Oryza sativa Japonica Group: one gene and its partners. Each later gene encodes a partner of the first gene's protein in a complex. Links are inferred from orthologs where the notes say so. Each region holds a gene or a part of one and is shown on either strand. Other genes may lie near its edges.

The links.
Region 2: mediator of RNA polymerase II transcription subunit 23 (region 1) and mediator of RNA polymerase II transcription subunit 16 share a complex: the UniProt entries of both Arabidopsis thaliana proteins name them as parts of the mediator complex. The link is inferred for Oryza sativa Japonica Group from reciprocal best matches to the Arabidopsis thaliana genes AT1G23230 and SFR6.
Region 3: mediator of RNA polymerase II transcription subunit 23 (region 1) and mediator of RNA polymerase II transcription subunit 27 share a complex: the UniProt entries of both Arabidopsis thaliana proteins name them as parts of the mediator complex. The link is inferred for Oryza sativa Japonica Group from reciprocal best matches to the Arabidopsis thaliana genes AT1G23230 and AT3G09180.
Region 4: mediator of RNA polymerase II transcription subunit 23 (region 1) and mediator of RNA polymerase II transcription subunit 8 share a complex: the UniProt entries of both Arabidopsis thaliana proteins name them as parts of the mediator complex. The link is inferred for Oryza sativa Japonica Group from reciprocal best matches to the Arabidopsis thaliana genes AT1G23230 and MED8.
Region 5: mediator of RNA polymerase II transcription subunit 23 (region 1) and mediator of RNA polymerase II transcription subunit 13 share a complex: the UniProt entries of both Arabidopsis thaliana proteins name them as parts of the mediator complex. The link is inferred for Oryza sativa Japonica Group from reciprocal best matches to the Arabidopsis thaliana genes AT1G23230 and GCT.
Region 6: mediator of RNA polymerase II transcription subunit 23 (region 1) and mediator of RNA polymerase II transcription subunit 28 share a complex: the UniProt entries of both Arabidopsis thaliana proteins name them as parts of the mediator complex. The link is inferred for Oryza sativa Japonica Group from reciprocal best matches to the Arabidopsis thaliana genes AT1G23230 and AT3G52860.
Region 7: mediator of RNA polymerase II transcription subunit 23 (region 1) and mediator of RNA polymerase II transcription subunit 21 share a complex: the UniProt entries of both Arabidopsis thaliana proteins name them as parts of the mediator complex. The link is inferred for Oryza sativa Japonica Group from reciprocal best matches to the Arabidopsis thaliana genes AT1G23230 and MED21.

What each region holds. Positions count from the first base shown.
Region 1 is NC_089036.1:31,041,878-31,045,516, reverse strand, and holds part of mediator of RNA polymerase II transcription subunit 23, read left to right. Parts: coding exon 1-217; intron 218-567; coding exon 568-781; intron 782-1,084; coding exon 1,085-1,371; intron 1,372-1,782; coding exon 1,783-1,866; intron 1,867-2,075; coding exon 2,076-2,170; intron 2,171-2,372; coding exon 2,373-2,535; intron 2,536-2,611; coding exon 2,612-2,857; intron 2,858-3,377; coding exon 3,378-3,545; intron 3,546-3,622; coding exon 3,623-3,639. UniProt on the Arabidopsis thaliana protein: Component of the Mediator complex, a coactivator involved in the regulated transcription of nearly all RNA polymerase II-dependent genes.
Region 2 is NC_089044.1:19,711,389-19,715,027, reverse strand, and holds part of mediator of RNA polymerase II transcription subunit 16, read right to left. Parts: intron 3,628-3,639; coding exon 3,028-3,627; intron 2,624-3,027; coding exon 2,005-2,623; intron 1,921-2,004; coding exon 1,841-1,920; intron 1,216-1,840; coding exon 1,133-1,215; intron 594-1,132; coding exon 357-593; intron 1-356. UniProt on the Arabidopsis thaliana protein: Component of the Mediator complex, a coactivator involved in the regulated transcription of nearly all RNA polymerase II-dependent genes.
Region 3 is NC_089035.1:8,936,660-8,940,837, forward strand, and holds the start of mediator of RNA polymerase II transcription subunit 27, read left to right. Parts: upstream 1-1,292; 5' UTR 1,293-1,317; coding exon 1,318-1,646; intron 1,647-3,419; coding exon 3,420-3,581; intron 3,582-4,178. Other genes in the region: pentatricopeptide repeat-containing protein At5g57250, mitochondrial, read right to left, coding at 1-1,100. UniProt on the Arabidopsis thaliana protein: Component of the Mediator complex, a coactivator involved in the regulated transcription of nearly all RNA polymerase II-dependent genes.
Region 4 is NC_089037.1:18,123,831-18,127,962, reverse strand, and holds the start of mediator of RNA polymerase II transcription subunit 8, read right to left. Parts: upstream 2,890-4,132; 5' UTR 2,718-2,889; coding exon 2,494-2,717; intron 2,371-2,493; coding exon 2,246-2,370; intron 1,469-2,245; coding exon 1,344-1,468; intron 1,239-1,343; coding exon 1,055-1,238; intron 920-1,054; coding exon 812-919; intron 599-811; coding exon 531-598; intron 211-530; coding exon 1-210. UniProt on the Arabidopsis thaliana protein: Component of the Mediator complex, a coactivator involved in the regulated transcription of nearly all RNA polymerase II-dependent genes.
Region 5 is NC_089039.1:22,068,066-22,072,479, reverse strand, and holds the start of mediator of RNA polymerase II transcription subunit 13, read left to right. Parts: upstream 1-1,578; 5' UTR 1,579-1,717; exon of another isoform or gene 1,718-1,923; intron 1,924-2,843; exon of another isoform or gene 2,844-2,891; 5' UTR 2,892-2,926; coding exon 2,927-2,950; intron 2,951-4,276; coding exon 4,277-4,350; intron 4,351-4,414. UniProt on the Arabidopsis thaliana protein: Component of the Mediator complex, a coactivator involved in the regulated transcription of nearly all RNA polymerase II-dependent genes.
Region 6 is NC_089039.1:3,232,189-3,236,325, reverse strand, and holds mediator of RNA polymerase II transcription subunit 28, read left to right. Parts: upstream 1-1,385; 5' UTR 1,386-1,457; coding exon 1,458-1,650; intron 1,651-2,048; coding exon 2,049-2,161; intron 2,162-3,020; coding exon 3,021-3,155; 3' UTR 3,156-3,512; downstream 3,513-4,137. Other genes in the region: U1 small nuclear ribonucleoprotein A, read right to left, coding at 3,898-4,137. UniProt on the Arabidopsis thaliana protein: Component of the Mediator complex, a coactivator involved in the regulated transcription of nearly all RNA polymerase II-dependent genes.
Region 7 is NC_089042.1:2,024,881-2,029,092, reverse strand, and holds mediator of RNA polymerase II transcription subunit 21, read left to right. Parts: upstream 1-1,323; 5' UTR 1,324-1,438; coding exon 1,439-1,762; intron 1,763-2,063; exon of another isoform or gene 2,064-2,146; intron 2,147-2,283; coding exon 2,284-2,355; intron 2,356-2,628; coding exon 2,629-2,680; intron 2,681-2,794; coding exon 2,795-2,871; 3' UTR 2,872-2,882; intron 2,883-3,351; 3' UTR 3,352-3,585; downstream 3,586-4,212. Other genes in the region: major pollen allergen Ole e 10, read right to left, coding at 3,911-3,936, 4,029-4,212. UniProt on the Arabidopsis thaliana protein: Component of the Mediator complex, a coactivator involved in the regulated transcription of nearly all RNA polymerase II-dependent genes.

The DNA of each region.
Region 1 (3,639 bases):
GACTCAGTGCTGGCAAGATTGGCTTTTATTTGCTGACATTTTTTTCTTTCTGATGAAAAGTGGCTGTATTGATTTTCTTGATTTCGTGGACAAGCTTGCATCTCGAGTAACAAATAGTGATCAACAGATTCTTCGCAGTAATCATGTCACTTGGTTACTCGCACAGATTATCCGCATTGAGATTGTGATGAACACCCTTAGTTCGGACCCAAGGAAGGTGATGTCTCTTTCTAAGATCATCTGCAAACACCTCTTTCTTTTGGTGAATCATATTCAATTGATTAGTTGATGACATGATTTTGGTACCAAAAAAAGATTTCCTCATGAAAATATTCAGAGTGCTTTATTTTGTTTCGTGCTCATCTTTTGGGAACTGCAAGGACTAACAAGTAATAACAGCGATCGACAAACTCAGCTAAACTAATCTCACATCCAATTGCTATAAAACTTTAAATACATACAAACTTTTGGTAATACTTCTAATGTTTCCTTTCATGATGTCTTGTGGTTGTCTTAATTTACCGTCTATAACTCTATATACCATTCTGGTATTTCTTCTGTTACCAGGTTGAAACTACAAGGAAGATAATTTCGTTCCACAAAGAAGACAAGAGCCTTGATCCAAATAATATCAGTCCTCAAAGTATTCTTCTTGATTTCATAAGTAGCAGCCAAACTTTGCGGATTTGGTCTTTCAACACTTCAATTAGAGAGCATTTGAACAGTGATCAGCTTCAGAAAGGCAAACAGATAGATGAGTGGTGGAGACAAATGACAAAAGGTACTTGGTACTTGTCCTTATTCATGGAATATGAAAGTATCACTATGCTTTTGATATAAAATATTGCCTGGTAGATCTAGAATTCATGGAAAAGAAATTCTCCGGTAGATTCTGGGTAGGCAATATGGACTGATTAAGTGTAGAAAATTCTACATAGTAACACCACAACTCATAATTCAGGAGGTGGATACATTTTCTTGAAAAGAGAGATATTTGGCTGTAAACCATTACTGTTATTTTCAATTTTGTCCCCATTCATGTATCTGTAATAAAGCTTTGTTACTGTTTCCCTTGCAATAATAGCTTCTGGGGAGAGGATGATAGATTTTACGAGCTTGGATGAGCGGGCGATGGGCATGTTTTGGGTTCTCTCCTTCACCATGGCACAACCAGCATGTGAAGCAGTCATGAACTGGTTTACATCAGTAGGAGTAGCAGATTTAATTCAGGGACCCAATTTGCAGCCAAATGAAAGAATGACAATGATGCGTGAAACTTATCCACTGTCTATGTCATTGCTTTCTGGGTTGTCTATCAATCTATGTTTGAAACTTGCTTTCCAGCTTGAAGAGACCATATTTCTTGGCCAGGTAAAAACACTGTTGCTGCTTATCTTTATTATTATTTTTTTAACTCTGCTCTTTATGGTTTGGAGACCAGTGCTCATGTGCCTTTAATTATTACTGAAAAACATCAGAATCAATATGTTACAATCTATCCTGAGTAAAAATAAAATGACAAGCAATTCATATGTTTATCTTTTATCTATTAAGATCTCCTGGCATAATAGCTCATGTTAATGAACTTAGCTGTAATATATGAATGATTTATAACTTTATATGTTAATGGTATATGACCAGCTCATCATTTTTGATCTTCGGAATGACTTTGCTAGAAGTGCCCATATAATCACAACTATATGTTCTTCTGTTGACGTACTAATGTCCATCTCTCTTTACCATACACTAATTTTCTTACATAATTCTTCTGTTCTTTGGTAGAATGTTCCTAGCATTGCTATAGTGGAAACCTATGTTAGACTGCTGCTTATAACCCCTCATTCATTGTTCCGCCCGCATTTTACGGTAAGTCTTGCCTCCTGTTGTAATCTGTAGTATTCATGTGAAGTTTATGGCTTTATGCTACCTTGTGATTAACAGTTGATTATTCATTTGCTCTGATTTCTAAATTAACTTTCTGCAATTGTAAGCATAATTCAGTTTCCTCAATAACATGCAATTCATATTCCTTTTTAAACTCTGATGTCTTCCTATGGTTTTATTAAACCTTGCAGACATTAACACAAAGATCTCCATCTATCCTGAGCAAATCTGGTGTGTCTCTGCTCCTACTTGAGATACTGAATTACAGGCTACTTCCTCTATACAGGTAATTTAAGTAATTTAATATTTGTTTTCTGCTATTTGCCTTGAAAGCCTTTTCTTATCATGCATATCCACAATTGGAATGTCTGACCTCAGCAAAAAAGGTTTGATGATCATTTAGAAAAAATCTTAGTGTTTTGTTCCATTTATTGTTTATATTATGGTGCACCTTTTGGTTTACATCTATGTGAATTTCTTCTGCTCAGGTATCATGGGAAAAGCAAGGCATTGATGTATGATGTTACAAAGATAATATCAATGATTAAAGTCAAACGTGGAGAGCATCGTCTTTTTAGATTAGCAGAAAATTTGTGCATGAATTTGATTCTCTCACTAAGAGACTTCTTTTTGGTGAAAAAAGAATTGAAGGTAACCTGCTTCATCTGGAAATTTCACCTGTTACTAAATTCGCATAAAGTGAACTTCTTTATTTATGTAAATGTAGGGTCCAACTGAGTTTACTGAAACACTTAACCGCATAACGATAATAAGCCTTGCTATCACCATGAAGACACGTGGAATTGCTGAGGTCGAACATATAATTCATCTTCAACCATTATTAGAGCAAATTATGGCAACGAGCCAGCATACATGGTCAGAGAAGACTCTAAGATATTTTCCTCCCCTTATTCGAGATTTTTTAATGGGGAGGATGGATAAGAGAGGCCAAGCTATCCAAGCATGGCAGCAGGTACTATTATCTTATCTTTTGGATTGAGTACTTGGTGTCTTGGCCATTTATATGCTCCTTTTGACTATTATATGGAGTTCATATACATTCGTCGAATAACAATTTAGGGAGTTTATAGTTCTTTTGTATCAGTTGTTGCCAAATCATGCTGCTGTTAGTTGATTTTTTTAAAACCATGTAATCACTCTTTTATAAGCAGTCTATTGATGGAGAATGTACTGATGGATTTTACACTTTTTTATGTACTATTACTATTACAAACGGCAATGAATTCTTTCACCTCTAGAATGGTATTAGCTGGCTAAGATAAAAATTGCAGTCTTGTTTTGAAATAGGCTTAGATTAGCAGTATAGCAAGACTAGTTTTAGAAAATTGTAAGATCTCGAAAAGTCTTGAATTTCCAAGCCAGTACTATTTCTGGTGTCCTTTAGTTGCTATAACATGCTTATTAAATGAAATGCTTTTCTAGGGCAAAATATTCCTTACCTTTTATGCTTGATGATTTATCTTCCATTGCAGGCTGAGACAACTGTTATTAATCAATGTAATCAGCTACTCTCACCATCTGCTGAGCCAACCTATGTTATGACATATTTAAGTCACAGTTTCCCTCAGCATCGTCAATATCTTTGTGCTGGTGCTTGGATGCTGATGAACGGACATCTAGAGATCAACAGTGCAAATCTTGTATGATTTCTAATTAGCAATTATATTGACATAAAAGATTCTCTCTATGTATATATGTCTTTTTAATCTTACTGCAGGCCCGTGTTTTGAGAGA
Region 2 (3,639 bases), on another chromosome or scaffold:
TGCTAAGGCATTGGAGGCAGTTGATGGGCTGAGCATAATTCCTGCACACCTAGGAGCAAAGCTTATGATGAAAGCTATCTGGAGGCTGTTTGAATCGTAGTCGGTTTGGAACATAAAAACAGCAAAATACTGCTGTAAATACTGTAAATTCCATACATGGCATGGTTAATCTGTGGCATATCATGCCTCATCCTCATGCATGAATAGGTTGTGGTTTACAAATAGCTTATCATTCAAAAAGGTTTGCAACATCATTTGCCCATATTAAGTCTATAGCCAAAAAAAGGAAAACGAGATTAGCAAATTGAACTGAAACTGTGGACCAGGAAATCAAAAGAACATGAAACACAGTATACCTGGATGCTTAAAAGTAGAGCTGGGTCAACAGTCATTTTGTCAGGCCCAATGCTAGATAACATGTCACTGGAAGCTTGCCACGGTTCAGGTAGCAGAGTTGATGGATTTATCAGGGCAGACTCAATTCCCTTGCCAAGCATATCCAGAAGCAATCTTGCTTGCATGTCCAACACAAGTGCTCTGACATCTTGAGCATTTGTTCCTTCCAACAATCTACACTTTATCCTATCAAGATTCTGCAATAAGTAAAATAGACTAATCAGTAACAGAAGAAAGCAATAGCCTTGCAACTTCAAGTCCTCAAAATCTGAAGTAAAAGGTAAACACACAATTAGAAAAACAAATCTTGTCCAACTCACAAATTACAATATATTGCATTATGAATAAAGTAGCAAACTACATACTACCGTAAATGGTCTCTGACCAATACATCCAGAGATATAATTTATGTTCATAGAAAAGTTTGGCAAGCTTCATGCTAAAATGTTCATTCAGAACTGCAAAGCAGTGCTAGTGACTTGTCACAAGAATACTAAAAAACTATGTCCAGGAAAGAAAAGGAAAAAAGTCATCTTGATTATATTTTGATTCGTATCCCCCTTTCAACTACTGGTGGAATAAAGACTGGTGATTGGTGAATGTACAATCTTTAAGAACCCAAAAAGATATTGTGACATGCATGTCACATAGTAATGGCAGTAGGCAGTAGATGATGAAAAATTGAAGGCCTGTGCTTAAAACTGCACATAATGTACTAAAAGCACAGCACACTTACAGGACAGTGTTGTTGCCTCTGTTGTATAGTTGGAAGACAATGGAAGTCCGCGTCCAGCAAAGCTATCACACTGTTCAGTGAGACTGGAAGGAAAAGCAAGAGATTTAGTTTATCATGGACAAATATAAATGTTACAGGTGCTGAAATAGTTAACCAACCATATGTAGAAAATGATGAAACTTACTGAAAAGTTCTGTATCAGCTTAAAAAGATGTATTGCAACTCACACCAGGAAATAATGTTAACATATTGAGACATCCAAATGGGAAAAATGAAGCAAAACACAATTCATCATACTGCAGATGCACAATGCTTTCAAATTGGGAGCATAAATGTGCAATCAGCTCTAAAGTCTTAACATTATAAACAACCAAACAGAGATTTGCTTGGTTACACTGTTCTTAATTACTCCCTCCGTTTCACAATGTAAGTCATTCTAACATTTTCCACATTCATATTGATGTTAATGAATCTAGACATATATATCTATCTAGATTCATTAACATCAATATGAATGTGGAAAAAGCTAGAATGACTTACATTATGAAACGGAGGAAGTATATACTTTAAGAGGTTGAGTGACAGTTGTGGAAATTCTACCGTGTAGCAGATAATCCCTACTTTTCTAATTGTGTGGACAGCTAGAACACAATTGAAATGCAAATACTATACACAAATTTTAAATTGCATCTGCATAAGCATCCTTACCAATACCATCTTCAGCAGCACTTTGTGTGCAGCCAACAGCATCCCACCAATCCACACCAGCCAATAGACTCCACCAAAATCTGCTAAAAAGATCGCAGTTATAAAAAAAAACATTTTCAACAAATAAATCATTTCAATCAACCTCTGTTAACTTGGGTGGATACCTATCTGCTATTGCTCGTTCCCAAACAGCTGAGCTAACCTTTGTCTGAGCATTAAGAATTGCAGGAGGAAGCACACGTATTATCTTTAGTATGGTTCGATCTTTGAGTGTGTCATGCCATACTGATGCCAAGCAACAACCACTGGAGGAGAAGGCTGGTGGAGCAATTGCTGAGCCAACATTGACATGATAGCTATCAACCTGTTCAAAGTTTGGACCTGAAAAAATGTGCACACCTCCACGCAGGAATGCAACTGCAACCTCACCACCATGAGCAGAATAAACTATTTGGGCCAATTGTCTGACATCATTTGGAAGATCATAAGGGTCAAAGCTAAGTCGGTTCGCCCTGTCAACACTGCACTCAGAAGAACTCCGCTCATCTGAAGTTGTTGGCATTGGAACATATGATTGAGGGTTCTTAAGGTCCTCAGATGGTGGGATGCTTTTGTTAACTCTTGTGGACCAAACAGTCTGTGTAGGTGGCTGTCCACCAAAGTTTGCAGGGCTTCCAAATATTGGATGAAGAACAACAGGTTGGACTGAAGATTCCCAGCACTGGACTCTCCATCCAGTGATGGAAGGTCCTTCATCAGGATCATAAGGAGACATGTACTGCCCTGGAAGTATGTGGTTTAACAATTGTCAGAAAAAATAAATAAGCATTAGCCAAGAGCCTAAGATCAACCGATTCACTTAATAAATTTCAGAGACCCCAAAAGTCCTTAAAAGAATATGCATATAGCATTTACAGACAAGAACTTTTATTACCATGGCACAAGCTACCAGAGCAAATCAAAGAAACAACAAAAGCAACTAAAGGGAGCTAAAACATGTATAAGCATGCTCTGGACATACATAGTTAGATTAACTCTCCTACTATTAAAGCTGTTGGATGATCATAGGATTAGTGTGGTGATTATGAATGGCATTGATGTTCATGCCATTCATCAGAAACAAATAGTCATAGTGAGATGTGACAATTGCATCATACTAATTCATTTCCCAGGTGTCATATACGCACCTTCAACTATTACAACTGTAATAACTGATCCCCCTCGAGTGGGATCAAAAGCAACTGAGGTAACCCCAGATCCCCATGTTGTGGTAGTGGCTGACTGGGCAGCAGCTTCAGGACTGACGTAAGCTGAAAAGTTGGAAACTGGACAACAATGGATCGATGCTACCTCAGTGGTCTCATTATCTACCTGTGCCTGTTTTTTTGTCTGTGCGCCCTCGGAAACAAGGTAGTCTTGCAAAGAGAAGAGGTAAGATGCAAGTGGAGCAAAACCAGCCCAGAGTGGGGGATTTAGTGATGGAGGAAGAGAGCTTGTTGCATTTATCTTTGCAGTTGCCTGAATACCATTGCCAAGGCCTGGCATCACCTCCCAAACCACTACAGTAGATGGATTAACAAGGGGAACACCAGCAACATGTAATGCTCCAGTTTCAGTAATAATAGCATCAGCAGCCATTATGCCGCTTGGCCCTGCTCCTAAAAGCCCTTTGCTAGTAGAAAACCATCTAGGTTGTGCTGAGTTTTGAGAAGGCCATTGTGACCAATGAAGCTGAACAGAACCCGATGAAAAAACTGAACAGACACATAGAATGTTTGGCCACCCAGCTGCAGTAAACA
Region 3 (4,178 bases), on another chromosome or scaffold:
AGCAAAGAGAAAGCCCTATCCAAATATCCCTTTTTGCACAAATTGTCAATCAAAATTGAGTAAACATATTCATCCACCACCACTCCTGTCTGTTCCAGTTTCCTCACTATAGAAAAAGCATCATCCAACCTGTTTCTCTTGCAGAAACCACCAATCAATGATGTATAAGTGATCAAATTCGGCTTAGCATCCCTTCGGTTCATCTCATCCAAGAATCCCATCACTTTTTCCACACTACGTTCTCTGCAAAGTCCATCAATAACAGTAGTATAACTAACTACATCAGCTGCAATGCCCTTATCTAACATCACCCGATGCTCACGGAGCCCTTTCATCAATAACCCGCTACTCATGTATCCATGAACCAAGCTGCCATATAAAACAGCATCACCAACCAACCCCTTCCCTTCCATCTCCCTTACCAATTGTGCTGCCTCAGTAGTTCTCCCTACACGGCCAAGCACATCGACAAAAGCGGTTAATGTGATCAAGCCTGGCTCAAATCCATTGAACTCTCTCCTCACCCTCCTATAGAATTCCAGCCCATCCCCAGCCTTCCCGACCTTGGAGAAGCCTGAAATGATCACGCTGCAAACACGATCATCCACCTGACACCCCGCTGCAGCCATTACGTCGAACACCTTGAGCGCGGTCTCCATGTCACCGCGGGCACACAGCATCGTCAGGGCCACACGATACGTGGACGGAGAAAACACGAGCCCGCACTCCTCTACGCCGGCGGAGAGCACCTCCAGCGCGCGGCGAGCATCGCCGCGCACCGCGCAGGCCCGGCGGAGCAGCGCGTCCCAGAGGCGGCGCGCGGAGGAGGTTGCCGGGCCGGCGAGCGCGAGGCGCGCTGCCGCGTCGCGCGGACGGGAAGAATCTAGAAGCGCCGAGGCGACCAGGAGGTGGGTGCGCGCGGTGGGGCGCACGGAGTTGGCGACCGCCTGCGAGGCGAGCGCGCCGACGAGGCGGTGCCTCCGCCGGCGGAGGAGCGCCGCCAGTAGGATGTCCACGCGGCGCGGCGTGACGGCCCTTCCGAGCTTGACCAGCGACGGGAGCGGCGGTGGTGGTCGGGGCTCGCCGCCGGCGAGCGGCATGGCGGAGGGTGGTGGTGGTGGCGCCGCCGCCGCGTGGGAAGCGAAGCGCAAACGTTCGAAACGTTGGAAGCCGATGGCGTGGGCCGAATTTGGATACGAGCTTGTTTGGATCTGGGCCTGAATAGATATGGGCTTGTATTGGTTCTGGGCCTGTTTGGATATGGGCTTATTTAGGTGAGGCGTTTCGAGTCGGAAGCGAGAAGGGGAGAAGAGGAAGATGCAGCAAGCGCAGGCGTCGGCGGTGGTGGCCGCGCCGGTGGCGGCGGCGGCGGCGGCGGCGGCGGGGGCGACGGGGCACCAGCACGAGGGGGCGAGGGGTGACGCGCCGCCGAAGCAGGTGGCGCAGGCGATGGAGCGGCTGGGGCGGGCGGGGCGGCTCATCGCGGACATCCGGCTGGGCGCGGACCGTCTGCTCGAGGCGCTCTTCGTCGCCGGCGACGCGCCCCCGCACAGCGCCCCGCAGCACGTTGAGAAGACCGCGCTCGCCGTCGCCCAGGAGGAGGCCGCCATGCACCGCCACTTCGACGACCTCCGCGCGCTCGGGAGGTAAACCCATCTCCGCCCCGTGCCCCCACACTCTCCGATTCAGAAGTTTTTCATCGATTCCTTAACCTTTGACTGTTACGTCGCAAAATACAACTAATTCCCTCCGAGAAGAACCATTCCCGTCATGATTCCACGGTTGCAGTCTCAAAATGAAAAAGGAACATTCCCGTCATGATACCACGGTTGCAGTCTCAAAATGAAAAAGAAATATTCCCGTCATGATACCACGGTTGCAGTCTCAAGAAGAAAAAGGAAAACCCTTGTCTAGATAATTTCTGGAAATTGGTGGCTGGGATATTGATTTAACTTCTTTGGATTGTATGATTGGACTTTTTTTAAAGTAATAATCTCCTTCCCAGTTTAGGCATGGCAGCACATTTTTTTTCCACTAAATTGTTCTGTAATAATGGTTAATCACCATAAACTGATGCCACACTCTTCTTTGGTGTTATCCAATTGCTTGTATCTTGTGAAACCCTTCTACCTATGAAACCTTGCTACGAGAGATGCACGGACAGGCTTAACTGCTCAACTTTGGTATATGAACTTTAGCATTCTAGAATATTGGCTGGGTGCCTGGGTCTATCAGATTGGGATGCATTTCTGGAACTCGTGTTCCTTGGCTTGTAATAGAGCAATATTTAACCTTAATTGAACAGCTTCAGCTTGAACTTGTTTTGGGGCTGTTTGGATCAGGGACTAAAATTTTAGTCCCGGTCACATCAGATGTTTAACACTAATTAGAAGTATTAAACGTAGATTAATGAAAAAATCCATTTCATAACCTTGAATTAATTCGCGAGACAAATCTATTGAGCCTAATTAATCCATGATTAGCCTATGTGATGCTACAGTACACATGTGCTAATTATGGATTAATTAGGTTTAAAAAAATTGTCTCGCGAATTAGCTCTCATTTATGCAATTAATTTTATTATTAGTCTACGTTAAATACTTCTAATTAGTATCCAAACATGCGATGTGACAGGGACTAAAATTTAGTCCCTGGATCCAAACACCACCTTAGTGCCACTCAGGGCTCGAACTAGTTTTAGTATCACTCGTGGATGGTAAGGATGTAGGGTAGGTGCTCACTCTATAATATTGTCTCAGCAGAGCAGTTATGTGTTGGGTACAATTGTTTACATGTGACCACTTGACCAGTCGTTTGTTGAAGAAGTCTGCAGGCATTTGGAAAATCCATGTTTCATGGCAACATGGTACTATTCTGTCTGATGAATAAAATGTCCAAGCAATATGAACTGCTTGTTAAACGATGGTTTTTGAGTCTTTCTGCAACCTGAAGTTGCTAGATAAACGGAAGATGAAATTTGCAGGTGATATAGTTATGATTTTAGACAGAATAGTTAGTTTGTGAAAATCCTGAAGTTAGGAGTACTAGATAAGCTTAAGCCATGTGACTGAGATTTTTTTAAGTCAAAGGATATTAGGAGCCATCTTCAATAAAGTTAGGTATGTGAACAGGATGGATTCACTCGATTTTGCTGGTGCTTTCTTATTGTTCTTTCACAGTATTCTTGTTATAGTGTTTGGGTTAGTTGTGCTTGTTGCTATTCATGATGTTTTTACTTTGTGATGAACCATCAATCATTGCTTACACAGTTCTCCTGGTAAGTTCCAATTATTTTTATTGAACTTCAAGTTTCAAGTTCCACTATTTCTTCATAAGTGTTGGCCTAGCCAACTGAAAGTAAAGATCTAGTTTTTAAACTGTAGCCTAATAAATATCTTGTATCCATTGCTGTTAGGAAGGCAATTGGAAGAGTCTGGAGTTCTAAATGGAGCCCTTAAAGCCAGAGGCAATTCATGGGGCTTGCACATGCCACTTGTTTGTCCAGATGGTGCAGTTGTGGCATATGCTTGGAAGCGTCAGCTGGCTGGTCAGGCTGGTGCATCAGCTGTTGACAGAACTAGGTAATTTCATTACCATCATTGTTGTGTTGTATGTTTGCTGCCACAATATGATGTGCTTATTTGTCTTATTTATATTCTGTTGATGTGTGAGATTTCATCAACCGTGCATTGCAGAATGCAGATTAAATATTTATACCATGTTATTTCTTCCTGCGATATACGATAATTTTCTTGGCCGATAAATTTGTACTGTTGTTTCCCTCTTTCCCCTTTAAATTTGTACTGTTGTTTCCCTCTTTCCCCTTTTTCCCTTATTTCTCCTTTTTCCCTCTTTTGTTTCTTCTTTTGCACTTTGCTTTCTCTAATCCTTCTACTATGATAATTACATTCTTCCAAGGTGTGGAGTGCTTTTGTAGGAATTGAAGTATTAGATCAGTTCTTGTTTTCGTTGCATCCATATTTTATTTTGATTTTACACAGAATGCATCGGAAATATTCCAACGCCCTTCATTCATGTGCTTCTTTAGATGTATGTACTTATGTTGAAGGCTTCAAGCCTTCGGATCATCCCCTAGTCCCCATGACAAGATACCCGAAGTTTATTACTATTTACAAAAATGGGTTACTATACTAAACTTAACAGCTATCAGCCACATG
Region 4 (4,132 bases), on another chromosome or scaffold:
CTGCTGTTGCTGAGATGTTTGCATCAGTTTTTGCCTATGTTGTTGTGCCGTCAAATGCTGCTGGGGTGAAGGGGTGTTCATCATATTGGTCCCTGACCTAGGGGAGTTTGCATATGGCATTGGAGGAGTAGATACATTTTCAAAATTAGGCGTTCCTGTAGCTCCAGGTGATGGAGCAGGTCTGCCAAGTAACTGTCCTCCAGACACCTGCTATTAGAATGAAGGCCCAAATTTGAACATCAAGATAGAAACATCAAAGGCCTGCATGAGGTCAGGTTGGTGATTGCTCTTATGAAATGCAATTGTCTTAATAATAGTTCAAGGGAAAGCATTCTAACCAACACTTAATACAGTTGATCATAGAAAGGAATACCAATATACCATTACAAATTATATGGCAAATTGATACACGGGAAACAAAACATCTGCCTTTTGTAACTTTTTTTGCTTTCAGCCCAACTAGCAATAATATGGACATATTCTATTAATTTCGTAATGGTCAAAGCTGTTATTACTGGCACTAGACAAACCTGCATTGGATTTCCCTGGGCGTTGACAACATTAGGTACAAATGTTGAGGTATTTTTGGGGTACACACCTGCAAGTATAGACTCTAGTTATATGCTTTTGTTGAAGCATTGTGTGACATACAGACTGCACAAATGGCAACACTAAGGGTAGCAGCAAGTTATTGATTATTTTTATATAAAAAAACATCTAGAGCAGATGAACAACTCATTGATGCTATAGTTCCAATGCTCAAAACAAGGAGTGAACCATGGAGAATTGTAGGTATGTCACAGAAACAGACCAGAATTATCACCAAAATTATGTGCCCCATCTCCAAAAGGAAGTACGTCCACTAAATGGCTAGGAAGAGATGAATACATCTGCCTTTGGTCTCCCGGTACACGCAATCCTGGATAATCAGACTAAATCATCATGGACTATAAACAATGAAATTGTTACATAAAAGGAGAAGCTTATGCTAAAATTAAATTCAAAGTAATTTTTAAACTGATAGCTATATTAATACACCATTAATGCTTATCACCTTCACCATAATTTACCGCTGCTCTAAGTAGGCCTTCCTGCTCCTGTATCTTTGCAGCCTGTGCCTTGTCCAATGTAGGACCAAGATTTGCCCCCTGACGGGCTCCTAGACCATAATTCTTGCGACTTTCAGCAATTACTTTCTCAGCTGTTTCACATGCACTTCCAATCATATCTATCCTAGTCTGAAAGGAATAGCAGCAAGTCCCATTAAAATTAACAGATAATGAAAAGATCACGCAGGTATAATAAGCTACATAGGTTTGCATTTTCCAGACAGAAATAATCACCTTTAACTTTTCAATTTGTCCAGAAACTGTTAGATTCGTTATTCCAGACAACAAGTTGTCCCTCTTTGTAGCTTCTTCAGCTTCCATCTCAGGTAACAGCTTTGACGACAGCATTACAGGCAGTACTGCAGTACTCACGAATATCAAACAGGACTAACGATGTGGTAAAACTAGAAGCAGATGAACATGGGAACACAAATTGCGATGCATCCCAACCATATACAGCAACCGTGACCAATTAGCATCTTGTTAGGTCATTTTTAGATTCCTATCACACTTATCCCAGAAATAGGAAAGTGTTGACAAAAATGGCTACCCATGCTACATTAGGAATATCTTTACCAATTTACCCTAGGATAAAATTCGTTTAACTAAAGCCAATTAGCCATATCAGCCTGAAGTTTAATCTCAATATTTAAACCAAAGGAATAACTATTGCTAGGAAGTGAGAAAGGTCAACAATTGGTTCTTCATGTGTAAAACAACTCGTAAAAGAAATGACATGTATATATATGAACTACTCATTACCAAATGCAGCATAACCATAATATCTCATATATCCTTGTTGCTCATAACAGAAATCACATAGTATATTTCTTGGTTCTCATAACAGGTGACCTGTCTTCTCATCTGGCTTTGGGCACCATTGAACATGAGAAGACTCTGTTTGGTAAGGTCATGGAATCAAAAGTGGTCTGCTTAGCTGGGTAGCGTGTAACAGCTGCCCAAGGCAATATTTTGTGAAGGTTTGAACTACGCAGAGCAATTCCATTCTACATTATGTTCATGTATTCTTCTTCCCACAAACTTTATGCTTGTGGATCTACCTAACTAGTGTGGTTATTACTGATATAGCGATCGATTGGTGACACAAGAGAAGAGAAGTGGAACAGCAAGCATACTGGCAGCGTTTTCGGCATTAACGTTTCGGGGGTAGACCACAAACACCTTGGACACCTTCTTGATGTCCTCCACGATATTGAAGAGCTCCATGCTCACCATCGAGAATTGCCCAAGCACATCCTGCCTGCCATACACGCACCACGGCACGAATCAGCATTGCATAAACCCTAGAAAGGGGAAGCTGAATCCTCTACAGAGTCCAGCGGGCGATCGGGGGATGGGGGAATGGAGGTGAGGCAAGTACTACCACTTGGGGGAGGCGTTGGGGTTGGCGCGGGCGATGGCGTCGAAGTCCTCGAGGATGCGGGAGATGGCCTTGTACAGGCCCACGGCGCGCGCCCGCATCCCCTCCAGGTTCAGCTGCTGCTGCACCCCGGCGCTGAGCCGCTCCGTCCGTGGCTGCTGGTCCCCTCCTACGGGCGCCGCCGGGTTCGGCGCCCCGGCGGCCGCCCCTAGCGCCGCCGCGTCCATCCGAGCTCGCCGGATCTGCTGCGTGGAGGAGCTCGCGGGAGTTGGGGGGCTTCACAGGAGGCGGAGATGGCTTCACGCCGGCGGCGGAGGCGGCGGAGATGGGCCGTCGGAGTTAGTAGGGCGGCGCCGGAGAATTTGAGTGTTGGAGAGAGGGAGACCGCGAGATGAGGACGGGAGGGGGAGGTGGTTTTTCCCCGTTTTCACGAAAACCGGTAAAATCGGCTCAAAGTTTGTTAAAGAAAAAAAGAAAAGGTTCGCTTTGAATATTTTTTTTCAATAAAAACTTACCAAAGAAAACCGAGCAATTTGTGTTGTCCTGTAAACCATGGGATACGAGCGAAATAGACAACAAGCCTTGTTTAGTATCCGGAATTACTTCATAGTAATAGGATACGTTCCATTTCATGTTATGTTGCTTTATATTGAGACGAATGAAGTAGATTAATTTATATATTTCACGAGGAAATTTTTTGATTTTTTAACCGTTAGATTCGCTCCAATATTCATGTAACTGGGGATGGGAAAAATGAATTTTCTTGGAAGAAACACTTCTGATGCTATGATAGCATGGTTTTTTAATGTAGTTACATATAGTTAATATAATTTTATTATAAGTAGTGAAGTCGTATAAGTTGTAATGGGAAGTACTAAATTTATGACAAACATTACATGATTAGAGTTCATTTTATGACATGTTCTATTTTTTGTCAATTAGCTCCAACATAAACTCATGTTTTGAGCAAACCCCAAACATCAATATTTTGGTCCCATGTTATCTCCTTCTACTATTGCATAGGCCAATTTCATACTACCCCTTATAAGGTTTTAATCCAACCCAGACATAGCGTTGTATGTACTACAAACAACAATAAATTATAGTAGAGTATTCTTGCTTGTGAACACTGAAATCATATCATTTAACTCCTTATATCTTAAATCTCAAGTTTTGTTGCTTTCCATAAAATTGAGGACAATGCTAACAGTAGGAGCTAAGATCATGGTACTATTTGTTACTTTTTTTAAGTAAAATATATGGCCGGTCTCTAAACTTGTGTTGTGCTGTTACTTAGGTTCATGAACTTGAAAATTACACGTTTAGGTCCGTGAACTTGGTTTAGGCTGTGTTTAGATCCAAAGTTTAGATCCAAACTTCAGTCCTTTTCCATCACATCAACTTGTTATACACACACAACTTTTCAGTCACATCATCTCCAATTTCAACCAAAATCCAAACTTTGCGCTGAACTAAACACAGCCTTAATGTATCACCTTGGTCCAAACGTCCTTTGGCTGTGTTTGACCGCCAACGTGGCATGCCACGTAGGCAACACTTTCGCTCTCAGCTCCCTCCGCGTCACAACACGTCGCATATATCTCCTTGTAGCTATATTGTGACACCAGAATCCCAAAAAAGA
Region 5 (4,414 bases), on another chromosome or scaffold:
ATTAAGCAATAACTCACCACATCGCACTCGGTACATTTTATAGTCCCCATTCCCCTACCCCTCATGCGCATGCTAGGTATGTATATTTTGCATGTACATGCATTATCATCGTCACATATTCTTCAATCTTCATTAACCAAGCCTTTCTAAACTCATTGGGAAGGTATCACCTTAAATTGCATTATTTTCTTATCTTACTGTTGGATTGTGAATAGTGAGGTACTGACCACCAAGGAAGCATATTGTGGCAGTTGAATGAAGTGGTTAAAAGGGGTTATCTTTCTAAGAGGTGGCGTGTGGAACCACAGCCGGTCATTTTCCCAATAGAGAGGTTTTAACATTTTAGCCACAACACAGGACATCCTCAACTTATGCAACTGGTTTTTTTATATGGTTAACCAAAAATAGAGATAATTTGCCACCTATGTTCCTAGTGTGGTAAACATGTCTATAACGATCGACGATACTATTATTTCAGTTCAGTAATATAACTGATCAATGGATGCTGTTGGGAACAAGGGTGATTGCTGATGCCAAATTGCCAAACCATCTCACATTCTCACCATTTCAGGTAAAAAGGATCTCATCTCTTGCACTTGCATGGCAATACTAGAGCTGAGAAATAATCATACATAACTTTTTGAGCTGCATGCCTAAGGAAATCAATTTCAACAACTGTATATGCTCCTAGTTTTGCTAGAATATAAGTACAAACCAAAACAATTAATTGCTTGCTGTGTACTGCTCTAATCTGTAGTTTACTATACATATATACAATAGGTAGTATACCTGGACTACTATTGTATAGTATTGTACTAGTACAAATGTACAATAAAACCAAAAAGATGCACACACCGTGCAGTTTTCAACTCACTCAGGGTCCTCTTGCACTTACTTGACCTTGAGTGCAACTTTGTCACCTTCAATGTAGAGCTTCAAGGCGGTGATCACCTACCCCGGCAAGTCGGCGGGGCTCTCATCACCTCCGTTGTGTCGACATACCTCGCCATCCTCTGCACCGGGAGAGGCACCGGCAGGCCTTTGGGGAAGATGCCGGAGTTCCCCTCACCTTCTTCCCCCGCCGGCGGCGGTCGGCGCCGCATGCTGAACAACGCCGACAACAAGCCGGATTTGCATGGCACGATGAACGACCCATACTATTACGATTGCCGGATCTTGGTGGATGCCACGCCGGAGAAGTCCAGCCGCAAGAAGAGCACATTCGTGAGGCACTTCTCCTGCACCTCCAGCCACGCCCTCGTCAAGATTGCTGCCGCAATCGTCGATCCGCGTGCCGTTGTACTGCACGGGCGCGGTGCGCACGTGCGACAACAACGTCAACTCGCGTAGCCGGCTTGTTCTTCTTGCCTTCTGGGAAGAGCCGAATGAGCGGGCCTGTTTGGATTAATTGGGCTGGATGTTGATTTGGATCGTTGTGGTTGTCTTTTGTTGGATCGGACTGGGTTGGGCTTACAAAAATGCGGTTTGGTTTGGGCTGGATGCAGGCTGACTAGAAAGTTGATCCATGGGTTGTTTTTCTTTTATTTTTTATCAGAACCGCACGGTGAGCAAGGAGGTGGTGGGGCCACGGGGGAGCGGGGGCACTCCAGGTCGAGGGCGGAGCGAACTGACCCGACCACCACCGCCCCCTTCTTCTCCGGTTCAAACCGGCGGCAAGTCGCCGACCTCTTCCGCCGCCCACCGAGCCGCTTCTCCGGTGAGCCCCTCTAAGCCCTCCCGACTCCGCCGATTTAGACCGGGCTACACTAGAAAGGGTACCCACGCCGGCGTAGTTGGGTCTCCGACTCGTTGCTGCCCTAGTCGTCGATCTCCCCGTCCCCTCGCGGCGCGAGCTTGCCCGCCGCCTGGCCCGGAGCAGCGGCGTCCGTCGTCCTGCTGCTTCCGCCGCATCCTCGCTCGCCGGTGAGCACCCGCGCGCGCATCCTCTTTCTCATAGCTCTCTCTACCCACGCCTTTTCTGCTCGCTTTAACCTTAGCTTCACTTCTAGATCCGGGAACTTCTCTCTTTGCATTAAAACCATAGTACTAGTAACAGCTTGCTTCAAAAAAATTGGGGGTTCAACTGAATCCCCGTGCCCCACCCTGCTGTTTGCACCCGGTTCTCTGCAGCTTGGTTGGGGAGGAAGACTGTGGCTGTGTTGCAATGCGAATTTGGCTTGTTCGCAGATGTTATTAGGATGGTGGACTTCAGTAGATTATGTGAGTAGGCTAAAGCCTAAAGGGAAGGTCGTTCTATCATTGTGATGTGTTTGGAGGGGCTTGACTTAAATAGGTAGCTTCCAGATCAAGTAGTTTCTATATGCAGTAGGTCATGGAAGCTTAAATCATGCATGAAAGTTACACCTCACACGAGGCAGAGGTAGGGAGTTTGGAAATATATACCTTGTTCCATGTGTTAGTAATTGCTCATGTGGAGCAAAGATATTGAGGCTCTGCCATTTGTCACATCTTCCATTGAAAGCAATTGCTTATTTCAATGACACCTAAGCATGAAAACTGAAGATCTTATCCCCTTTGCAATTTGTGCATTGGGAATAAACAATTCTCAGCCACTGCATGACCATTAAGAACATTTGCATTTCTCGTTGAACCATTTTGTGTTTACTGTTTACCATTTGCCCCATCTCATGCTTCTTAAGCGTATGATATTGCAATATGACTTGTTCCAGCTCATTAGATCTGGAGTGCAAAATTTAGAGTAATAGGCCCCCTCTATCTGCATGTCACACACATCTGATATTACTCTTTCTTGTATGTATGTAGAACCTTAGTTCCATTTGTTATACAGATGGAATCCAAACTTATTATATCTCATTTCACAGATAGAGGTACATGTTGCATGCCTCATCTTATAGGCTTGTACTTTCCAGGCTGAAACTCCGGTAATCGCATAAACCAACAGAATATGTGGACAAACATCTTCAAGCTTGTAAGTCAGATATCTCACTCCTGTTTCCCCTTATGTTCTATTCAGTTTATGTTGGGCCTCTATTTACAACATGGGAATCCGGTATCTTCCTCCATTTTATTCACATCACGAATGCAATCTTTCCAGTCTTGCTTATAATGTCATTGGGAGTTTTGTTCTATATTGGTCTTGGCAGTAGATAAAATTGTTTTGATTTCATTTCTTTGGTACATATTATTTTTTCAGATGTTTTTGGGATGCTAATTAGAGACCCTCGGTGCTATGTTTACTCTTGCATAGGATATTTGAAGGTTGACATATTTGATCGTAGTCACTTTTACCTATTTCTGATAGAAAAAGGTTGAACTATTTTGTTGTTTGATCCATTTTTTGAGGGGACAGCATCAAGGAAAGCCCTAATAAAGCAATAAACCTTTTTAAATGAAAACAACTTGAGAAAGTTAAAAAAGAACAGGACAAGCTGCTCAACCTGTCAACCAACAACATCCACTCAATTTCGACAGCTGATTTCATGAGTTTCACAGTGACTCCAACTTGCTCTAGATTGTAGGAGCATCTTTCTCCATCTGAAGCAATAAGAAGTATCTCCTTGGAAGGTTTATCTTATCCTGTCCAGCCAACAATGTAACTGCCAAGTGTAACAACTCTCTAAAGAAATCTCTAATAGTCCATGCCATCGGTCTTGCATGTGTCAAAAAGGTCCAAATTCCATTGACCCATTCATACTGTTTCAGTCCCCCCAGACACAGAATCTTGTTGCCTGGCTAGTGTGAGGGTAGCCACTTTCTATAGTAATGTATGGGATTTGTGACATGAGTACTATATGCTTGCATAAATATGATACCTCAACTTTCGCAATTATACAGTGACAAAAGTAATGGCAAAAAAGGATCATGGAGATCTTTAAGAATAATGGCCAGATAAATTTACAGCTTAGGCCTCGAGATCCTTCACAAATTGTTTTCCCTGGCACCTTGTGTCCTATCAAACTTTCTGTTTGTTGCACTGGTATACCTTAAATAAATTCTTTTGCAATAAAAAGCTCATAAAAGGAAATAAAATAACGGAACCCCTGGCTAGAGATTTTAGATAGTACATCTGCCAAATGTCAGAACTGAACGCAGGTGAGAGTTGTTACCGACTAGGATGCCACAGTTTGATTTTTGGGTAGGTCTGCCAGAGTCAGGTAGGGCTAACTTTGCAATTTTTCAGATAGGATTTGTGTGTTTCATTTTCTTTTTGTTTATTGTGTAGAAAATTTGATTGTCCACAATCATGAATCATATATAGTCTTTTAATCTTAATTTATATGTTTGGCCTTTATAGGGGGAGCTCCAAAATGTATCGTGGTTTCAGTTTCTTCCTGTTGAACCAGATCCAAGTACAGCTTCTGAGAGAAGGTGTTCTTGGCCTTTTGTGATGTCTTCTAGTTGCCTTTGTCACTCTTTACTTATGTTCTGATGC
Region 6 (4,137 bases), on another chromosome or scaffold:
AATATCAGATTAATTCATTTTTCAAATTTGTAATAATTAAAATTTAATTAATCACATGTTATTATCACCTCGTTTTGCGTGAAACACTTAATCTTCATCTTCAGGAGATTCAAACACTACCTAATCATTTTTTTATTTGACTATCAATTTAGATTTGATCTTTTAAATATTAAGAAATTTAAGGGGCAACTTACAAAATTTACAATGAGGGTAGGTATGATGACATATTCACTATATGACATATCTCCGTTTTTTTTTTTGAAGAAGTATAGATTAGACCAATTGACTAGCCGACTGGGTACATCGGTCGTACTCCCCAAAATGGCACCAACCTAACCTAATGCTATATTAGATTCTGCTATAACTTATAATCAACTAAGGAGTATATTACATCAATAAAAGAAATATCTACCGATAACATTAAGTTAATTGTGACTATCACTGATCGATTAATTAGATGTATTTATGACAACCGCATGCATACGTGTCGAGCAGCAAAGAAGTGTGTTCACTTTTATGCTACAGTAAAAAAATCAGAAAGTCACGAAGTCAAGCAATATATGTTGCCATATTTGATGTTTAACACAAGATTAAATACACAAACATAAAGATAAATGGGACTTAAACAATATGCATAGGAAAAAAAATATTAGCATTTCATGTTTCTTTTTTCTAAAATACAACGGAAATTCACTGACTCCATATGTTCATATTGTAATCTAAGTTTATCTTTCAGTTAAACTTCTCTAACACCGGTTGGCTTTATAAAAAAAAATACAAAATCTGTAACACCAAATTAGTTTAATTAGATTCATCATGAAATATGTCTTTATTGCATTTATTTATTATTTTATATATTGGTGCATTTTATTCAAACTCAGACAATTAACTTAGAAAAAAATATTTATAGACCTAGAATTTTTCCCAAATAGAATTCCAGATTTATTTTCCAAATAGAAATATCATAAATATCATTATATATATATATATATATATGTATATATATATATATATGTATATATATCTATATATCTAATAAATCAAACTAAGTCTAAATAACTCTAAAACATTTATACATCCTAACAAAGGTATAAATATTTACAGGGTACTTTTAAGCTATGTTCTTCCCCCCATTTTCCCAACCCACCTATCTTGTTTTCCACGTGTACGCTTTTCAAACTGCTAAACGGTGTGATTTATAAAAAAACTTTATATATAGAAGTTGTTTAAAAAAATCATATTAATCTATTTTTTAAAATAAAATTAGATAATACTTAATTAATCATGCAATAAAATAAACTTCGTTTTGCGTGGCAGGAGGAGGGGTTCCCAAGCCCCTCCTCTGAACACAGCCTTAGTAGGTGCGCCAGGCGCACCCATTTTCTAGTAGTTTTTGGAAGAAGGGTTTCATTGCAATTTTGCGATCCCCACCTCTCTCTCTCTCGTCTCTCGCTCTCATGGCCGAGCCGCCGTCGCAGTCGCCGGCGCAGACGCCGCCGCAGGCGGCGCAGCAGCAGCAGCAGGGGCCCGGGGAGAGCGCGCGCGACGACATGATGGCCTGCGTGGCGGCGCTGGAGGCGGCGCTGCTGCCCTGCCTCCCCGCGCGCGAGCTCCAGGCCGTCGACCGCTCCCTCCAATCCTCCCACCAGAGTACGTCGGACTCACTGAGACTGACCCCGCCGCTCCCCCTCTCTCCTCCCTCTGCAGCCTCCCTTCCCCGTCGTTCTTGCGCTTCCCCCGGCCAAGATTTGGCGCGGCTGGTTTGGTTCGACTCGCCCGCCCGCCAGGTGTTCGCTGTTTTGCCTACGAGGTGGGGATTAGGAAGCCCCTCGTGCTCTAGCAAAATGTGGCGAAGTTATTTTTTCTTTTTACTTGCGCTGTTGGTACGCGGGCGTCTCGCGGGTGCTGAGATGAGATTGAGAGGGTGGCATTTGAGCGTTCTACATCTGTGTGCTCAACTGTCGATGTAGAAATTGGATTCTTTTGCTTTGTTGCTGGTTAGCAAAATAGGGATTCTAAGGTGTTGTGGTTGTTATAATGTGGAACAGTTGATGTTGAGAGGCACGCGAGGGATTTCATGGAGGCTGCGAAGAAGCTCCAGTCTTACTTCATCAGCCTGCAGCGCGAGGACCGACCGTCGACAGAAGAAATGCTTCGAAAGGTACATTGCATTGCTTTCGGAACAACTTTGCTTCGAAAGGTACTCCTTGACTTCGAAATGATTAGCAAATTAGAACTTTGTGATTAGCAAATTAGCCTGTAGGTAGAACTAGGACCTTGTTTGGGGGAGCTTAAGATTTTGAGAAGCAATTGGTTGGTAGTCAGTTTATGAGAATATGAAGAAGCTGGAAAGTTAGGTTTCTTGTTTCTAGTTTATTTTCTGTATTCTTTAACTACATCTTCTCAGAATCTAGATGAAAAGCTGAACTGTTTGAGTGAGCTTTTAATTTTAGGAAAAGCTGCAGCTGCCAAAAGCTCCCTCAAACATGCCCTAGGTTGGGTAAGCACAGAGTAACGATTTGACACCAGAGTACACAGACATGGGAGGCTGAGAGCTTGGGGATGGCGAGGGAAAAGGTCTAAAAAATATTCAATTTTCAAAGATAAGGGCTTGAGTTTGTCTCTTTTACAGTCTTGAATTGACTGGGCCAGCTCTAAATCAGTCCCGTATTGTTAGCACTAATTCTCTGAGATGTCTAATTGAAGTTTTTTTTCTGTGTTAGTACTCGTTGTGCTCAACATTTTAGAGTGCTTGAGATCCAATGGTTTTTAATATTTGGCCCATCAATAAGTTTAAAGCTATCTAGATTGGTTGTATAAAATCCATTTGACCCTCTCTTTGAAATCAATTATATTGATGTTATATTGCAACCGTTGTAAAAAAAAAATTGTGCATCGATTTTTCTCTATAAGCTTCATGGGAGAAATCAAGAGAAATCCTATATGGCGTGGTCCCCAAGCTGTAATAATCAAATAATAATGTGTCATCATGTTTTAACATGTCCAGTTTCGGTTTGCAGGATATTGCTATAATGGAGGAAGAGCTGAAGACCAAGTCCGAGCTCATCGACAAACATAAGAAGCTCATCGAAGGGTGGCAGAAAGAGCTGAAGGACCAGCTGGGAAAGCATGTTACTGAACTCGAAAGAGTGTGACACCACTGTCTTCCATGAAATGTCCCAGGCTCCTTCCGATGATCAACCTGAGTAGCCCAGTGCTGGGCTATGCCTTGGAGATTTTGAGTACGCCAGCCAGGAAAAAAAAAACACCACAACAATGTTTTAGGATCTGACCAGTTTGCCGAAGACGAACAAATTGCGCTGTATTAATGTTCGTTGCTATGTTCGGTTTATCATAATATTATTGTTCGTAGTTTCTCGTGTGCTCTCCATCTCATCGTGTTAGGCATGCCTAACATGTTAAACTTTTAGATTTTTCGGAGCAACATCTTTTTCCCGATTATAGGAGTGTATGATAACATGTGTGTTCAATGGAATTGTCTAATTGCCTCACTTGTCATTTTAGATGTTTCTTTCAACATATTAATGATTTAATGGTAATTGAATCCCACAGTTGCTGTCAGGTGACCATGGTGACACAACTACACAAGTATGACTATGAGATGGTAAATATTTTAACGAGGCTAACAGCAATAGCATAAATGTAAATCGTCTCAAGCTGCCATATTTTACACAAGGGAACACGAGTGGAACTAACTAGGAGAACTCACGACTGCAAAGATGGTTCAAATTTCATCTCATTCCTGAAACACACACGGGCAGCTGAGCAGTAGTACATTAACATGGTTGTCATGGTGTAGTCTACCTAACAATGAAAATCTATGGATTATGCGAAAACTTGGGACTACAACATTCATCGAGCAAGTCAATAGTACATTTACTTCTTCGCATACGAGATAAGCATCTGGTTATCTTTCGTAATTTTGAACCCCTGAAGATGGTTCATGGCAGCGGTAGCCTGCCCCTCGTCGCCGTACTCCACGAAAGCAATCCCAGGCTTTGCTTCAACCATTCTGACTTCCTTGAACCCTGGGTACTGACAGAAGAGCATCTGAAGCATCATAGGGGTCGTCTCATGTGGGAGGTTTTGGACGAAGAGGATGTTATTCGGTACAAT
Region 7 (4,212 bases), on another chromosome or scaffold:
ATGACGTTGGGGATGGTTCGGAGGCGGCGGCGGCGGAGGAGGAGGAGAGGAGGCCGAGCCGAACTGGCGTCCCGCCGCAGTCGCCGGCTTGTGGTCGATCTGCAGGCTGTCAATGCTGGGGTAACTTGCTGCTGTCCCGAAGCAAAAAACAACAATTTTCCAGTGTTGAAATCAATGTCATCCAACAATCCAAGACATGTAAAACGTTACCACTGGATGAATGATGCAAGAACAATGGTAAATGTCAGATTCAATTCAGGGTTCTCGTTCTTGTGGAGTCACTCACATTCAGATGATGCGGCTGCGACGAGGGCACACCACCCAGCTTCTGCTGCTGATACTTGCTCCCGTTCGCCTCCTGCAGGAGATCACCATTGAAGAGGCTGCGACAACCCTAGCTCCTCCTCCTCCTCAGACCATTTCCTCCATGATAGGCTCCCTCCGTGGCCGCGGCCGCCGCGTCCGCCCTCGCGCTCCTCCTCCTCCTCCTGTCCCGCTCGCCGGTAGCACGAGGAGCCGCGTCCACGTCATCACCTACCGCTCCCCCGCCGCCTCTGCGGCCGCGGCCGCGCTCCCGTGGATCGACTGGGCGCGCACGGCGTCGATGAAGGCGGCCCCGGGCTGTTGTCCTTCGCCTCCGATCCGGGCAGCGTGGGTCGGTCGCTGGCGCTGCTCGTGGAGTTCGCTCATGGTCGGCGGCGGCGAGGCCCGGCATGGTCGGGTGAGGCAAGGTGGGAAGTCACGCGGGCGGCGGGTGAGGCTCATGGTCGGCGGCGGCGGCGAGGCCCGGCATGGTCGGGTGAGGCGAGGTGGGAAGTCACATTGTCGGCGGCGGCGAGGCCTGGCATGGTCGGGTGAGGCGAGGTGGGAAGTCACGCGGGCGGCAGGTGAGGCGGGCGGCGTGGCTGGCGTGCGTTCTTTTTTTCGTTCTTTTTGGCGTGCAGTTTCTTTTTTCGGAGCAAGACGCGGTGTTAATCCGGTGCTAATTGTAACCGCAGGATTAATCCGGCGCTAATTGCAATCATGGTGTTAATTACACTAAACAACTCGTGCTTTTTATATTAGTCTAGATTAGAGTCCAAGTCCGATTCAATTAGTGTTAACTAATCGGGTGAGTTAATTGTTAGTAATAGTTTGGTTTAATCCTGGGCCGTCCGATCCATTTGTGTGTGGATCAGATCTGGACGCGTGGTGGTGATGTGATGCAATTTTCCGCGTGGGGTCCCTTGGTTCCTTCGTAATCAAGCTAGCCATGGGCCCACGTGCCAGTCAGAGAGTGGCTTGCGCACTGTCGATGTGCTGGGCCCACCAGTTTTCTTTGATGGGCCTAGATGTAATTGGGCCTTGGTGGATAGAGAGGAGGAGGAGAGAGAAGGAGAGGGAGAAGAGGAGGAGGAGGAGGTCGCCGGCGGCGAGGAGGGGGACGAGATCGCCGGAGATGGACATCATCTCGCAGCTGCAGGAGCAGCTGAACGAGATGGCGATGGTGGCGGTGAACACCTTCGGGACGCTGCAGCGGGACGCGCCGCCGGTCCGCCTCTCCAACAACTACCCGGACCCGCTCAACCCCGCCGCCGCCGCAGCAGCAAACCCTAACCCCGACGACCCCGCCCAGCCGCAGCCTGGAGCGGCGGCGGCGGCGGCGGCGGGAGCTCCGGCTGCGCAGGCACAGGCTCCGCCGGCGCAGGCCCAGCCGCCCGCGCTCGACCTCGCCGAGCATCCCAAGGCCATGAGCCACGCGCTCGTCCTCGCCGCCAAGAAGGTACGCGTCTTCCGTCGCTTATCTTCTCTGCTTGCCACCTGCTCGATGAAATGCCTGAGTGCCTGCTGGTTCTTGGGGTCTGACGCTTTAGGGCTTGGACTGTAATTTTTGGTGTGACCAGCCTTAGCATTTTTGTGTGATTGCAACCACGGTCAGGGTGCCTGGTTCTTTGAAAATTCTTCTACTTACAGAATCATATCTTCTATAGTGAGATTGTTCATGTAGTGTGGTAGAGTACTTTAGTTGCATTGTGCTGTTTTTTAGCCCTCTCGAGATAATTTTGAATGGATCTGCAAAATAGGAGCTTCACTCATATTATTCCTCGCAAAGAAGGGTTGACGATGATGTGGATCACACCAATCTTTGTACTGTTCCTCGCAAAATGTAGGTGGGATGATGGTATGCAGCACACCAACCTCTGTCTCCAGAGGGCAAACTTTGCATCTGAGAGTACACTTGAAATGTGCTACTAGCTACTGTTTCCAATACCGTTCTCTTTTTTTTTTGGTTTTTTTATGCAGTTTGATGCTCTTGTTTCTGCGTTGCCACTATCATCTGAAGAGGATCAGCTGAAAAGAATTAAAGAGCTACAGGTATGTCTCAGTTTTGCCCTCTGAGCAGTACATTGTGAAAGGGTGACATTAAGCTAGTGTCTTGTGAAGATGGTATCTTTGTGCATGTTTCCTTCTGTTTTTTTTTTCCTACGCCTTGTGGATGGAGTTTCATACTAAGGTTGTCCTCCTTAGTCGCTTGCTTTCTTCTGAATGAAGGTTTAGCAGACGCTCGGCAGCATGTCCTGCCATAGTATCAGTATTCATGATACTTGTGTCCTGCAGCTAAAATGCTTATGAATTTGAAATGCGCAGGCAGAGAATGAAGTTGTAGGCACAGAGCTTCAGAAACAACTGGAAGCTGCTGGTATGCTTTGCTATTACATTCTTGGAATATTTTGCCTTCATTATATAATTCCTCACCATGTTACAACTGATTATTTACAAGTCCAGTGTTTTACATGTCTTGTTGCTTTTGTAGAGCTGGAGCTGAAGCAAGTTGAGGCTCTTTTTAATGAAGCTACAGATCATTGTATAAACTTGAAGAAGCCAGAGTAATAGTTATCAATGTAAGTTTGGATTTCTCCCTTCACTATCTCAATAAATCTTTAGCTTTTTTTGTGCTTGCAAAAAATTATGCTTGCGCTTATGATATGGGATTATTTTGTGACCAGCTGTATAATCCGCTTGACTTCCCAAACTTGGTACACTGTATTATCAGGAAGTCAGGATACTGATAACAATTTTGTTCTTATGGTGCTTTTTGCAGTACAATATTCTACATGCACCATTTACTAGATGGCTGTTGGCATCATGTCCATGATCAATTATTGGTTTATGTAGTTTATGTACGATGATGGCCTGAACAAAACATAATTATGGTGGATGTTGACCTGTTATATTAATCCCTCGCAAGATGCTTTCATAAAACCCTCTGGGGGCTTGTCTTTCTGTTGATCAGAAAATTCCAACACAGTGTTGTTACGTATGATCGTAGTATCACTAAAATGACTTATGTTTGCTTTCCTGTCATATCAGGTAACGGAACCCATTTTGGAGTCATGAACAGATGAAGGTGGAGATGTGAATGCCAGCTGCCGATGCTACATGTAGACTCAGTTTTAGTATCAAGTTAGCTGATGCTCAACAATATTCCAGTAGTACTTGTTGGATTAGGAATTAAACCTAGCACTGTAATTTACAGTAACTTGAATAGTTTCAAGCTGGTTCGTTTAATCTGAAATAATTTGAGCATAACTTCATGTTTATTTATTATAGTTGGGCCACTGTTCGTTCACAGCAGCACAGGACCATATAGTGCTATGCAAATACAATTAAGACATGCCTAGGATTCATACTCTTTGAACTTTGAAGAACTGCACTGAAGATATGGAACAATATTATCTCGGTATAAAGCATTCCTCTCTAAAGATTACCCAAACATTGAGGCTAAACATGACTTGAATTCTAGCAACTCTGACACTGAAATATAGAACACCATATTTTCTAGGGGCACTTGGACAAACAAAACATCCCTTGAAAACTTTATTTGTCAAGCTCCAGAGATTGGCTGGCTAACTTGGAGCAAACTCTCAACTCAGGCATACTTGCAATTGCCAGAACCTGCAAAGGTTGGCAAGAAAGCCATGTAAATTTGCAGGATTCAGGTGAAAGAAACAGCAAGTGAAGCAAGCTTTGAAGAGGCTAATACTTACTGGGATCAGTGATGGTGATGAGGCCAGTGCCGTTGAAGAAGCAATTCCATGAGTTCCTCCCCCTGGCCTGGTAGTAAGCGTTCATGGTGACCGACGCCCGCGTCGGCAGGCTGCCATCGTCGTCGGGGAAGGAGCATCCGCCGGTGCCCTGGATGGCGGCGCAGTCGCTCTCCGAGCAGGCGAA